Linked DNA regions of Lepisosteus oculatus. The protein of the gene in region 1 interacts with the protein of each later gene in a pairwise test. Links are inferred from orthologs where the notes say so. Each region holds a gene or a part of one and is shown on either strand. Other genes may lie near its edges.

Region 1 (7,333 bases):
TATGCTGCTGAATGACTATGCTTTTTCTTCTTTTCCACACTTCCAGGAGGGCTCCACCAGACAGGCAGCACCTAGGAGGACAGATCGAGCTCCATGCTCCGCTCTGCCACTAGTCTCTGTGTGAGCGCTGACACTGCAGGGTTAGTATTGGTGAGCTGGGCTCTCCCAGCACCAAGGGCCACACCTGCAACCTGCTGGGAGCCTGCAGGCTGGCAGTGATATGGGCTGGAGGCTGACTGTTCCTCTGAGAGGCTCAAACCTCCTGCAAGGGTCTGTGGAGCCAAAGGACAGCTGGCTCAGCTGGTGGGCTCGACGGAGGAGCAAACCCATGCATCTCATTCATTCTCCCGAGGGGGTACAGGAGTCATGGCTGGAGAGTCCCGTCTTAAACACAACACACCATTCCAAATGGGGTGGATATACATTATATGAAATGCTGGGAAATTCCCTCAATCTGATATAGCCACCACCTGGAGTGCAGGCTGGGCTCCACTGTCCCAAGGTTGTTGGCGCACATTTTACACTAACATGAACCCATAGCAAAGTAAAGATAACTGGACAAGAGGTGTTAGGTTACAAATGCACAAACTTGCACATGGTTTTGAGCTTTCTGCCATGGCAATTAACCAGCATTTCCATTAGCTTTAAGAGTTGACAGTCTGAGAAGAGCAGGTCTTCTGTGTGTAGATTTCAGAGAAGCTGTGCATGCTGTCCTGGTGTTCAGACTGGGACTGCAGCAGAGCTCTTCTGATAACAGCAAATCCAACTTTAAAATGAACAACACTATCTAACCAAGGTAAAATACTAACAAAAGGATTCTTATCATCATCTGCAAAAGGGAATGACTGACACTTAAAACAAACCCTGGCGGTACTTGTTAAGACCTTCAAATAACTCATACTAGCACAGCAAATGAAATCAATTCTCATTAAGGTCAGACCCCAATCCAGTTAAAGAGCTGGCTGAGCTCACTGTATTCAGAAGAGTGAAATGCTAGTTTGAAATAAAGCTGTCATGGGAGTGGGCAGGTTTAAAATCACAGAACCACCAGGCTGCATACAGTCAGAAAGGGGAGTGTGGGGAGTCCATCACCTGCTTCTTCAATAACCAAGATATCCACCTAATAAGTCTACTGCAGACATGCCCTGGGGTTTGTACCTGCACCCAAACTCAGTTTAGGTTCAAACTCAGGTTTAAAGAAAATGAGAAACCCTTAAGGTAAAGGCAAGAGCTCTTCATTTTAACTCACAAAGCAGGCAGACCCAGGACTTCCTGCTACACGGACGCCCACGTTCTGACCCACCTCCACACTTTGCTCGTCCATTTCAGACGGTTTTCAACCTGCTTGGTATCCTCAGGTGGAAAACAAAAAGCCGCTCAACCCAACACCTGTGAAAAGAGCATTACTGAATAAGACTTAGAAGTCTGCCTTTAACAAACGTTAAGACAAAATAGGCTCTTTAAACTTTCCAAGCACTGGCATGCTATCCAAGCCACCATCCAAACCTCATATTGCAAAGGATTTTAAATTAGAATGAACACAAGCTATTTGATCCTTTAAACCACATTCTGAGTGTACAGTATATCTAGAAGAGTAAATACGTGACGGAAAACATTTTCAAGCTTAGTGCACTTACAAGATACACAGTGTCAGAGAGAAACGGTGAAAATGGCATCGCCTTCTGCACTTCTTTAGGGCCTTACCATAATACCTCTAGAGATTAATACCTCTGGGATACTGACAGTATACCAACCTGTTCACATTATATAATTTATTTCTTGTCTCTAAATTACTTAGTCTCTTTTCAAAATGGTATAGTCCTTCCATGTGACTGCTTAAAAAGGCAGAGATTCTCCAGCTCCTCGATTCGCCCCTATTTTTATTTATGAGGGTTGCTTGTTGGCTCTGAGGGTTGTAATCACTCGAAAGCGCTATGGCTACAAACTGTGGTCAGAGCCCTCCGAAAGCCCAGACGTCCATTCTTCTGGGAAATGGGCAGGAGCTCAAACACCTGCCGCCAGATTTCTGGGGGTCTGCAGGGTTTCAGACGAGATTTAGCACGTAAAGCGCATTCGGACTCAGGCACAAGGCTATTTGTAACGACAATGCGGGCAGGTCTCAGGCACCACTGAGACTGCAACCTGCCAGCTCTGCGTTAGATCACACTCATCCCTCCACAAAAATGTATTTTACCCACGGCAGCCTGAAAACGTGGCTTCAAAACACGAAGCGTGCGGATGCCTTTCGCCATTTTGGGGATTCTAATTGTGGGGGGTAAATCGGGAAATATCTAACCTGAGCGGCTTGTGTTTGGCAAACCATGAAACAGGCTTAGCAATCCTTCTCCACGCCTATGCAGAGACCCAAAATGAAGAAGACAGGGCCGTCTGCGAGCGGCCCTGAACGCTGCAGGTATGGAGTCTCGCAGGGGGTCTGTCCTGAGGTGCATCCCAGGCAGCTCCCAGACACAGCGCTCCTCCGAAACCTGCTGCGTCTGGCTTTAGCTATCCAGCAAATTACAGCCCGCCTGCCCTTCAGGGGAGACCTGCTCTCTGCAAGTTGTGCCTAACTCGTTGCTACTGAAGAAAGGACCCAAAACAAACTTCATTGAGATGTTAAACGAAGCGCAGCCCCCTCCCCTCCCGGGGGTGCCGAGAGGCTGGGCACTCGCTGGAGGACTGGCGGTGGGTTGGACGCGGGCAGGGGTGTTGGAAAACCCGGACCCCCACACTGCCCAGGACGCTGGCCGGGTCCAGAGGCGGGCTGGGCAGCATGCAGGGAGCCGGGAGAGCGGTACTTACGTCGCCGGGGCTCGGAGGTGCCCAGCCGGGCGGTCAGCCGCGGCTCTGCAGAGGTGAGGGCGGAGCGCTGAGCACCCACCCCGCCGCCTGTCTCTCACACACACACACACAACGGGCTGGTGGGAAAATAACAACGCCTAAGCGCTCGTTTTGCCGTTATTTCCTATCTTTTAAACGTTAGCTCCTGCACCCCACCTCCATTCTCCTTCCCCCTCGCCAGTCACAGCTACTGGTCACCATTGGAGACCGTTTCGCCCCCCCCACCTCTCTCTCGCGAGGCCGCCGGAAGCCGCTGAAATCCTCGCTCGCCAATGGCAGAGAGAAGAGGGGGCGGGATCTCGCGTCGCAGAAGGGCCGCGTCGCTTTTCCCCTCCCCCTGAACTCGGGGGACACGCCCCCTGGTCTGGTGGGCGTGAAGGGGGTGTGGCTTTCGTGACACATCTCCGCTGCGATTGGTCAGGTGCCGAGAGGCTTTCAGAGTGGAGCGCAAGCCAGTCACCGACGCCTTGGTACTTTTTCCATCTGTATCCAATCACAGCGGCTTCCGCTGAAGCCACACCCCCGCGGCCTGCCCAGACAGTAATGAGGAGGCTCTCCTCAGGAATTGGGGTAGGGAAAAGAAAGACGTCAGACAGCCAAAGGGATTAGAGGCGCTTCCGTTAGCAGGAGAGGCGGGTTCGAAGCGTCCTCAAATCTTGCGCGTCACCCCAGCTGCACAGGTGGGGGTCCTGGGGTCTCCGTGTGAGCGCGCTTCATTGCATAACCACAGACAGTGCGGAGAGAGATAAACAACATGAACGGTGCTCGCATGCGAACGTCGGTTCACCTTAAATCCCTTTAGATCGGCACAACATTGCAAAAATATCAATGTCTTTATCATTTAATCTTACATGCCAACACGTGAAATTGAAGACAAGCTACGTATATTATTATAGCTGCGCCTAACTGAAGGAAGTATGCAGCAAACTGAAACGCAGTTCCATAATGGAAAATTATAGGCACCCTTAATCTTCAATATATTAATAAAATTACTAGGTGTATTCATTAAATACAGCTGAGACATATATGAGTGTCATAATTGCAATAGTTAGCAAAGCTGTCTCACAGGTCTTGGGTCTTGGCTTTGATTTGTGACCTGGTGCGCCTTCCGTGTGGAGTTTGCATGTTCTCCTGGGTTTCCTCCCGGGTACAACAGCAGGCGGATTCTCCCTGTGTGTGTCCTGGGGGTGTCCAGCCTCGAGCCTGGTGCCTGCTGGGCTCAACGTTAAGCGTTCCTTGCGAAGGGGTTGGCGGAGGTGAGATGCTCCAGGCTCGGCTCTGCCGTGACGCCCCCGCGGAGGAGCCTCGCTCTGCAACGCAGGAGGTCTCCCCTGCTCTCCAGGGGGAAGTGACCCACATGCTAAATGCGGGATGCCCGGGGGGGGCGCGCAGCCGGATCATCCTCTCTGGCTGCGGGGAGCCTTGATCAACGAGCCGGTTCTGACGTCTCAGGTGACCGCGGGCTAATTGAAGCGTTTCGTGAGGTGAGCTCCATCGGGACCTCGGCTCTCACTCGCAGGGAGGATCCCTGTAGGCTTTCTTGGGAATGACAACTGGAATCCACCCTCCGTGCTCAACCCAATAATCACTGCTCTGCTCGCAGCTCAGTCTCTGCTCTTGGCCCTGGACTTGTCATTACTGTTTTAAAACCCACGTTTGATCAACAGCCCTCCCGCCAATAAACGCTTCTGTTGGGATACAAAAGTAACAACACCGAAAGCATATATCATATCGTATCATATCAAGCATAAAGCAAATCGGGCGGAGCAGTGGCTCTGTGACTACTCCGTTGGGCCCCGGAGCAAGGCCCTTAACCCTAACTGCTCCAGGGGCGCCGTACAATGGCAGACCCTGCGCTCTGACCCCAAGCTTCTCTCCCTGTCTGTGTCTCCTTGGAGAAAAGCTGGGGTATGTGAAAAGACGAATTCCTAATGCAAGAAATTGTATAGGGCTAATAAAGAAACATTATTATTATTATTACATTATTATTAACAACATATATAGTTCCCAGGGATTCATTTTGGCTCATCTTCTGATCCGGAAAACTCAATTTTCCCTCCTCTTTAGGTCAGATTTCCCTTCAGTTAGGCACAGGATATCCCCATGAACACATGGGCATGTGTTTTGGCTTCATCTAAAATATCCTCACAGTCACTATGCCTCTGAGCAAAGCCAGCAGCAGGCCTTCTATTAAACAGAGCCGGGACACGTAAACCAGCAGAGCAACAGAGAGAGCAGAAGGCCAGTGGCCTGTGCATCAGAGACACACGGAGTTCAGAGTTTCCGACACCCATCTCCAGCCCCTGACTGGCACCAGCAGAGCCAGGCTCATCCTCAGGGCTACACCACACAGTACCAAGAGCTGGACAGTTGAAGAGAAATCCAAAACAAACATTAGATTAGAATCAAAGCAAGATTTTCGTTTATTGTTGTTAATGCTGTAATTCAATTTCTTTTCCTGGTTTGCCAAACACAGAGGAATGCAGAAAGGTATTTCTATTATTTTCTAATATGCGGAAATAATAATCAAAGTCTCTGACTTACTTTAAAAGGACAGACTGGCTGGTTAACAGATCTTTCCAGGTCCACTGCCTCTAGGCCTCTATGCATTGATGTTGGTTAATTGCTTCCAATTATCTTGCAAAAAAGTATGAATCACTGAAGTTGTCTGATGTACTATGTCAGTGATTGCATATTATCACTGTGCTGGTGCTGAACTCCCTCTGCAGAGTCCCTGCTGAAATAAGGGAATCTTTACAGAGTTGTATTTCCTGGGGTCATGGCCTCCCATGCTGAGGACTCTGTGAGGTTCCAGAAGCTGGACGGCGAGGTCTCTGGCGACGGGCTCTGGCTGCTGCCGGGAGAGTTCTGGGCCTGTGTGGGGTCCGTGGGATGCTCTGGTCTGCTGGGCCCTGTGGACTCCAGCTCGGCCTCCTCGTCTGTGAATGAAGCACAGGTGAGCAGGAGGAGGCCGAGCGTGTCAGGCAGACCAGTACATTTTAATTTCTCATTCTCTCTGGAAATGAATTCATATTCCTGTGGGGCCACGCCTGGTGATTCGGCACCCAATCAGGCTGAGAAGTGACCTTACTGGGCCAGACTGCAGAACCCCAGCCCGGCCTCCAGGGTTAACACTCCTACTCTTCTGAAAAGGGCCGGGGGATAGTCAGGGCCCAGGCCTAGCTTCTCAACCGAGTGGGGGCACAGTGTCCTCGGACAGCACACTGGAGCGCCACCTCCTGGTCCACTGGTGCCGAGCTGCCCTGGGGACTCACCCTCGATCACCCGCACCAGCACCGGCTCGCTGCTCTTCCCCAGGCCCAGCCCGTCCACCGTCGCCCGGCACCAGTAGCGCCCCGAGTGGCGGGCGGCGGCGCTCCGCACCACGTGGCGGTCCTGGGACGAGGCCACGCCCAGCCGCTGGCCGCCCCTCAGGAAGCTGTAGCGCAGCCTCAGGCCCGGCCTGCGGGGGGTCAGCTGGGCCCGGCAGCGCAGCACCAGGTCCTGCCCCCGCCGGACAGGGGTCTCCGTCAGCACCTCCATCACCGGCTCGCTCAGCAGGTCTGGTCAGCAGACGGACAGGGTCAGAGAGGGCAGCTGGGGCGGCATGAGAATGAGCCGCTGCTCTTTTCTGGAGAGCATCTGAGATCGGCCACGCGCTCACCTCTGACGGACACGCCGACCTCGGGGGACTCCGCAGTCTTCCAGCCCCACCTCTTCCCCCAGGTGGCCCGGCACCCGTAGAGCCCCTCGTCCCGGGGCGAGAGGCTGGCCAGGTGCAGCTGGGGGCCGCTCTGCCTCGCCAGCACCCGGCCGTCCTTGTGGAAGACCACCTGCTGCAGCCTGGGGTTGCCGCGGACACGGCAGGTCAGGGTGGCTCCGGCGCCGCGGAGCAGCGGCTGTGGAGGAGTCTGCAGGATCACCCAGCCGCCTGCGGGCAGGAGGCACAAGCTCAGGGCAGGCCTGACCGCTGGGCCAGCCCCACCAGCCACCACCCTGCAGCCCTGAGACGCCAACCCCCTCTCAGCGCTTCCCAGTTCTCTAATTCATCAGCTACTGCGCCACCAGCGAGCTCCTGTGGCAGGTCTGACGCCACTGTCCTCACTCATCCCGCAATCGCGCTGTGTCACGGGGTCACCCGCGCTGGGCCTGCAGCACCACACAGCGCACGCGGCACGAGACCGGGAGACAGTGCTCACAGCTGGGAGTCTGGGGAACAGGAGCCAGCCTCCTGGCAGGAAGTACAGCTGCCAGGATGGGTACCGAGGAGAGGAAAGGGAGGAATCGTGGCCCTGCTGGTTCTTACCGGTCACGCGGATGCTGATGGGCTCGCTCGGCAGGCTGCGCTGCGGCCAGGCCCGTGCCCGCAGGCCCTGGCAGGAGTACTGCCCACCGTGGTGAGGCAGGGCGGGCCTCAGTGTGTACCTCCCCTCCCCCACGGTGCCGAGCTGCTGCACTGGCGCCCCGTCTTTGTACCACACGAACGTCCAGC
Region 2 (7,894 bases), on another chromosome or scaffold:
TGGTTCTTTATTTTTAACCAGTTTTTGGTCATTTTAATTTTCTTAAAAACAAGACAGATATGTGTTATTTCTGTGGTATGTTGAAGACCATAATGATTCTTCATGAGATCTTAAAGTGCTAATTGTGTGCCAGTTTTTTCTTTGCTCAGCTATTATGTTGTGTAATCAGTCCCACACTATAATGCTATAATTGTTAGTTAAATAATAACTGAAAATTATCTTTCTTTTTAATTAAACCAGGTTTTACTTGGCGAAACACAGTGGTCGACAGCTTACACTCCAGCATCATATGGGCTCTGCTGATTTAAATGCTACTTTTTATGGCCCGATTAAAAAGGTATAATTATATTTCTATAATTTGTAATATCTAGACTATTCTTTTTCTAAAGTGTATGTTCTGAGCATAAAACATGTTGAAAACCCAGGTCTTTATAACAGATGTTTATATCTCTGCTCTATAGTTGTGTAAAGTGTATATTTAATACATTCTTTTTATTTCAGGAGGATGGTTCAGAGGTCGGAGTAGGAGGAGCTCAAGTGACAGGATCTAACACCAGAAAGCACATACTACAGGTTTCAACATTTCAGATGACAATTTTAATGCTCTTTAACAACAGAGAAAAATACACATTTGAGGTAAGTTTCTCATCTTGCACGCAGGCTGTTTTGACCTGCCATAAATTCATTGGTTCATAATTCCTTGTCAATTACTAGAACACTACATTTCAAATGCAAATCCAGAGGTCATGGAACCAGAGGACAGGAAGACATTTTTACAGTTATTTTATCTTGATTAACTTGAAATGCTGGTAATGAGCTGAAGCAAGTGTTTAAAATCTAAAATGGCGCCACTGCTTACACCCTGTTTCCATCCACTTAGGGCTTATTTTCTGTGTGCTAAATGTCTTTGTTGGTGTTTGTGACATCAGGAAATTCAGCAGGAGACGGATATCCCTGAGAGAGAACTTGTCAGAGCTCTTCAGTCGCTGGCATGTGGAAAGCCAACACAGCGGGTCCTTACTAAAGAGCCCAAGTCGAAGGAAATTGAGAACGGGCATGTGTTTACAGTCAATGATCAGTTTACTTCCAAATTGCACAGAGTAAAGATCCAAACAGGTATGTAAACAATCTTAAATAGCTTTTAGGAGGTTGTTTTAATAGATTTGTTCGGCATACAAAACGTGTGAACTGTACTCCAAACGTACTCCATGTTATAAGTGTTTTTTTTTCAATAATTGTGGGATGAAAATGTTACGTACTAGCCGGATTTGAACATGCAGGTTTCCTCCTTCTACATTTCACCCGCCTTGCTACTGCCTAAAAAAAATAAATGGGATTGTACTATAACAGGTAAATTGTTCAAGCTCATCAGTAATTGAGGACATGTATTGAAATCATCAGAATGTATGTAGATCCTGGTGGGAGTTTTTCCCGGTTGCCAGCTCTGAAGGCTCACACGTGGTCTGCTGAGCACACTCTATTCTCTTCTCAACGTGTATCCATGTGGGTCCAGGCCATTACAAAAACGTGTCAAAGTAATGAGACGGGCATCTGCGTTCCCTTGTCCTGTTTCTACTTTGTTTCGTTTCTGACCGGGATCGGTTATTGTCTTTCTGTTCTTCTTCAATTCATCCAGTTGCAGCCAAACAAGGAGAATCGGATCCTGAAAGAAAGGAAACGCGGCAGAAGGTAGACGACGACAGAAAGCATGAGATTGAAGCTGCCATTGTACGCATCATGAAATCCAGAAAGAAGATGCAGCACAATGTGCTAGTAGCAGAGGTGGGTTAAAGAAGAGTAAGGCTTATGTTTTAGTTGTAACTGGTCCACTTCAAGACTGCATGCAGAAGGCAATAAATGCATTATGTTATAGAACAACCGGAACATAAAATCATTAATTTTATTCCTAATTTTCTAATCAGTAGTTGTATGAAATGCTATGATTTTATTAATTTTGATGATCGGAAACTGATTATTAAAGTTAAGCCATTTCATTTTTTTTATTCCCACAGGTGACTCAGCAGCTGAGAGCGCGTTTCTTACCAAGTCCAGTTGTCATTAAAAAACGAATTGAAGGACTTATTGAGAGAGAATATTTGGCGCGAACACCCGAGGATCGTAAAGTATATACTTATGTAGCATAAAGTGCATTTGATGAGACACCATTTTTGGACTATGTTATTCGCATGAACTGGGAAGTTCCTTTTAACTATAAATACTGGGACGATGACTTCTCCTCCATTTAAAAAATAAAAAAAATCCAGTAAGTGTTCTAGATTGTTTAAATCAGGCCTTTATTCCCTGTGAGAATTTTCAACATGAATGGATCCAGCTTCAGGCTTTTCACCGTTTTACCCTTGTAGAGATCGACATTAAAGAATTCCTTGGGAAAAATGTGAATGCACCGCATTTTGTTTTCAATACTGTAAAAAATAAGAAAATAATAAAAACTAGCAAACGTGGATTGCTATTAACACAAATAAAATAATTGTTGATTTTTTTTCTCCCCAGTTTTTAATGTCAATGTAAATGTGTTTTCTTAGTGTTTCGTAGCAACTCGCTGGTTGTACAGGTTTGATGTCAAACAGGATGAAATTCTGCTTCAAGGGTTTTACTCCAAATGATGAATATATATAACAATACTTTTATTGCTGATTTGCAAAGAACAAGGGAATTGCTTTGTAGCATGCTATATTTTATGAATCTGAGTATCTCTTACACTAGCTCTGAGTTTTTGGTGGGGCCTCTTGTGAAATTTCAGCACAATATTGCTTGTTCCTTTTGATATTAGGTTCTTCCAAATGCAATTCTCAATGGGTTAGGTTTTTCTGACATTTTAAAAGGAACCAAATTAAAACTGTTTTAATGTGTATAAATTGTAAAATAATTGTTATTGTACTCACTGCCGAAGTGGATTGTACAGGGCCTTGTTTTCATCGTATTAAATGTAGAAAAAGGAAATTAAAAAAAAGTGGATTTACTGTTCTTTCTTTAAAACTCTTATATTTAACAAGCACAGCAATCAAAAACAGTGCTGTTATTTCAGTATAATTCAATATGTTTTTAATTTTAAATTATTTTACCATAATAAAGAAAAGGAGTTCTGAAACTAGTGTTGAATGCAGTTTTTAGCGCAGTTACTATAGTTATCTACAGACCACTTTGGATCTAACATGAAAACTTACTGGGGCCCCAGTGGCTCTGTTGACTAAAGGCCAAAATGATCTTGGGTTCACGTTGGGGTGATGTCACTAGTCAGCTGCTGAGGACTCCCCAAGATGTGGCGCACAATTGCCTGAGCACTGCTGAGGGTAGGATGGGATTAGGTGGCCAGGGCTCTGTTTTAAATGACGCAGGAACCCTTCTGGCCTTCTGGGCACTTACAGGCATGTGGTGAATTCCACCAGGCACACACCTCTTCTCCATTTGGCGCTAAGCTTCCTGTAAGGGGCGGTGTTGTGTGTTGCTTGTGATCTGTAGCCTCCTTCCTCTTCCCTGGTGTGTGGCCATGGTGCTTGTAGCTGTGAACCAAGAAAAACACATTATTCCTAAATGGGGGGAGTTTTGCAAAAAGGATGGGCAACTCTAAATAGACGTAACTCATATTTCAGAACAAGAGTAGTCTATTTTTTCTTCACATTTGCAGTGTAACCAAGCAGTGCAGAACTGCAGATCGACTACTCATTTCTTGACTGTTAAACGGTCTCTTTTAGATTTAATGAACTTCCTGAATTGTCCCTCTAAACAATGGTTATATTTTCCACAGCAAGCCTTTCTCAAGTTAAATATTATAATGAACTGTAATATTCAACATATTGTAAATATATGCATCTCTAGAACACCCAATACTACTGCAGAAATACTGTAAGAAAGTTTATCTAGATATGTCTTTTCTACATCAGTTGCTCAGACTGACCTTTAATGTTGTGTATGAATTCATCACATATCAATCGCCCCATATACTGTCCATGAGAAACATTCAACTGATTTTGAAGTTTATTAATTATAGCTTGCAACTTTATCCTTACGTAGTTTTTCTTATTTTGTAATTTCTACTTCAGTTGTCTTTATCATTCAAAATATTTATGATAAACTGCGAAAAGAAAGTTACACTGGAAATCAATTTTTTGTACTGGTCTTTGTAGATATCTGCTAAATTTCAGGTCTCATTTTTGAAAACTTCTGTATACAATGTTTACTACATTCTGATTATTTGATTATGATGATTTCTTTCAAAACTTACCAAATTGAATTTGGTACAACTTTTAATCTGAGTGATACAATTATTAAGTTATATAATTAAGATAACCCATACATGAGATTATGAAACTATATAAAAGTAGTTTTTAGGAACAGGTTTGTTGCCATCATTTCACAAGAACAATATTTTGTATACAATCAGATTATTTGCATTTCTCGATGCATGTTTTGTTCTCCCTCTCACGCTACCCTGCTCTCAAACCATTTCCTTCTCCTTTATAGTGAAAGGAAATAAAAACTTTGAAGTAACTAAATTGCTCAAATGAGTCTCGCCAAAAACCACCACTCTGTTATGCGTAAACAAGACTTTTAATTGTTAATGAAAAGACCGAGTTCAGGCAGTACTTTTCGTGAAAGGGAGGTCTTTTCAATATAACTCGTTTATCCAACTCAAATTGAATTCCTTCTTCGGCTAGGACTTGCCCTGATTATTTCTGAACAGTCGTTTCAGCCCATCTAGCAGTGCCTCCTGGCATAAAGGCATGTATCATCTAATTTTTCACAGTAAGCACCTCGCATTAAGGGTTTCATTTTCCCCGATTTAAAAGTGAGTGGCCCTTTCCACGCTGTCAATAATAGAGGGTCATGTGAACATACAGACGGTGTCCTACGCGGATCAGCCGAGCACAATACAAGTTCGCTGCTGCTCTCGGAAACCTATTGAACCCCGTCTCGGGCTACTCTTTGTCCTGCCGTCCGAGATGAGTGCCATCTGGCGCACGATAAGGAAGGCAGATGCATGCACCGTAGGAGGAGTACTCTGCGATCTGAAGCGGTTGTGCGCTTCAGTTTCTGTGCAGCCGAAAGGCTCTTCGTCGGCCGCCCAGCGAAAACGTGCGGGCTGGAGCTGCCAGCAGCTCTCATGTGACGGAAATCGGGGAAAGCAGTAAATGGAAGCGGGGGATGCATGACGTCAGGGCCCTGGGTCCAGGTCCGTCCTGAAGAAGAGCGGAGTGGCGTCTCATTCCATGAGACGGCAATGTGTTTTTAGCGCATTATTTTTCTGCAAGGCTTGGTGCGGGGAGGACGTTGTAGACAATGCTACGGAAAGGCAACCGAGGCGAAGATGAATATGCCGATTCCGGGGCAGAGACCGCCGAGTAGGTGAATTTTGGTAACAAGTTTCTGTTGTGACTTGAACGTAAGCTTGGTTTGTTTCTTCGTCTCTAAGCGGATCTGTCGTGCGTTGCTCTGCCTTGAAAGATGGTGTTGTCCTTTAAACGGAAAGCAACAGTGTACTGTGTCGCCCTTGAGGCTGCCTAGTTACAAGCACATTAAAACAAAAAGCAGTTCACGTTAGCCCAGTTTGTGTATTTTGCGGCAGGATTATGTCGTACTTTTAAACAAGATTACTTCACAAATAGTCTAATTAAAATTATACTTCTGAACTGTTTACACTGCGCTGTCGCGAATTTGGACTTGACTGAATAAAACAGTCTGCGTTTTTTTAAAACATCTTCGTTTATTTAACAAACAGGTGTGGGTTTTTTCTTTCGTTTTACGTAGGTTTTTATCGCGCTTACATATATCCTAAATCAAATCGTATTTCAATGTAGAGGGATATGTGTGGATCACGTCTTTAGTATTTTTTTTTATCGTTGCGTGGGTTTCTGTCGGACTGGTCCTGGTGCTTGACATTCAATGACTTATGCATCTGAAGAAGAAAAAAAAATGCATTTATTTTCTTACATACACTTGAAATAAAAAGTTTAGATATTTTCCACTTCACCTTATATAATAAAACTTGCGGCGTGTTTAAACATTCACACCACCGTTTTCGTGCCATAAACTCCACTGAGCAGGGGAGTGTAAACAAGAGTTGTCCTGGTAACCTGAGCTATTCAGCACCCCTGCAAGATTGAGGCGTTGAAACAATCCGCGTTTTCTTCCTTGACATTTTTAGGTTACTTTAAAAGAAAAAAACTTAAACCTTTAGTTACGATAACGGGGCTTAAAAATCCACAGCTCTTGATTCAGTCAGGCACAGGCAGAAAAATACGAACGGGGGAGGATTGCTTTATGGTTAGGAAGTGCTTTTATTACAAGACTGGTTTGGTTGCTGTAGACTTGGACGACACAGTTGTGAACTGAGAAAATACCCCACCCAAAGGCAAAGCAGTAATTGACTTATTGTTTGAAGAAGACAGTTGTAGAGCTCTGTGTTTAGTTGATATTTAAAATGTAAAGTTTAATTTGAGTTTAAAGTTAACGGAACTGGTAACATGGTTCTCAATAAACCAACCTTATTCTGGTGGGTCCAGGAACGTACTGAGCAACACAAAGATTGATCTAAAACCAGCACTTACACGTAAATGCTTATACTTACCCTTTTGAGGAACTGGGGGTATACAGTGTAAGAACTCAAGGCTGGTTGCTGTACTAACAGGAAATCAAACTGACAGGACTAACTTAAGTAAGGTTAGGGTAAAGCAGGTGGATGAATGTAAAAGAAATACTGTTGGTTATGTATTTGTATCAGAAAAGATGGGTAGGAAAGAAGCAGTGGTGGCAGTCAGACTTTACATTAAAAATAAACCGCAAACTAGAAAACATAAGCAAGAGGGTAAAGGTAGTTTTGACTCGCCATGGATTGAGCTACAAAACAGAAGTTCAAAGAGTGTAACAGTAAACAAGTGTCTTCTATAAACTAATGCTGACATGGGCACAAGTATCTTACTGTTCTATGAAATCAGTAATGTACGTAACAAAGGTGATGTTATATTACTGAGAGAATTAAATTTTCTACACGTACAATGGAATATTGTGATGAAGAATGCAAAAGCTGAGAGTAGTATGTTCAAATGATTAATGGTTGCTTCTTAACCCACTTTGGAAAAAGCTCAAACAAGGGAAAGTGGTCTTGCAGCCTTTCAAACAAGCAGGATATAGTTAATGGAATAGATGTGATAGATCCAGTGGAAAATCATAACTGTAATTGGATATCTTTTGAAGTGTAGTTTAAATTTCCAAAACTTATAAATTCAGAAAAGCAGACTACACTGGAATGAAGCAGAGCTTGCAAGCAGTGGGCTGAAAACAACTCCATTCAGAGTCAATAGAAGACAGATGGTTATACTGTATTTTAAAAATCTAGTTTGAAAGGATCAAAATGAATTCACCTCTGAAACAGCACGGTCCAAGTCCAAAGGCCCAAAAGTATGGGAAGTTTGGATGGTTGGCAAATCTAATTTAACTTCTAGTGCAAAATGAACCACTCAGGAAGTAGGAACATACACTGTACACCTCAAAAGGAAGGTCCTCAGCTACAGGATGCTACACATGAAAGGGATGTGGATATTTATGTACAATCTTCCAAGTGCTCATCAAGACAATGTAGGGAAGCATTAAAAAAAAAAAACATAATGCTTGGCTTTCTAGCTAAAAGTGTGGAATTAAAGTCGAGGGACTTGCTCAAGATTGGCAGTGCCTTAGAAGGATCTCATTTGGAATAATATTCGACTTTGGCCACCATATCACAAAAAGAAAGAGCTTGGAGAAGAATGACTCAGGAGACAGCTTAGATGTTAAAGGAGATATACCACTTGTGTTTAGAACAGAGGAGAAGGAGAGGAATTGTGGTCCAAGCACAGTATACGGAATCCTAAGGGGTACAGATAGGGCCAACCCTAGGACC

The links.
Region 2: the proteins of trim37 (region 1) and protein FAM124B interact in a two-hybrid assay, tested with the Homo sapiens proteins (2 studies listed by BioGRID and IntAct). The link is inferred for Lepisosteus oculatus from reciprocal best matches to the Homo sapiens genes TRIM37 and FAM124B.

Annotation. Positions count from the first base shown.
Region 1 is NC_090721.1:715,580-722,912, forward strand, and holds the start of trim37 (E3 ubiquitin-protein ligase TRIM37), read right to left. Parts: upstream 3,107-7,333; 5' UTR 2,803-3,106; intron 1,390-2,802; 5' UTR 1,325-1,389; coding exon 1,250-1,324; intron 1-1,249. Other genes in the region: high affinity immunoglobulin gamma Fc receptor I-like, read right to left, coding at 5,596-5,780, 6,117-6,404, 6,506-6,772, 7,148-7,333. UniProt on the Homo sapiens protein: E3 ubiquitin-protein ligase required to prevent centriole reduplication. Probably acts by ubiquitinating positive regulators of centriole reduplication.
Region 2 is NC_090708.1:6,845,229-6,853,122, forward strand, and holds the start of protein FAM124B, read left to right. Parts: upstream 1-4,857; 5' UTR 4,858-5,298; coding exon 5,299-5,360; coding exon of another isoform or gene 5,361-5,364; intron 5,365-7,894. Other genes in the region: cul3b (cullin-3b), read left to right, coding at 241-337, 502-636, 930-1,116, 1,637-1,782, 2,013-2,144.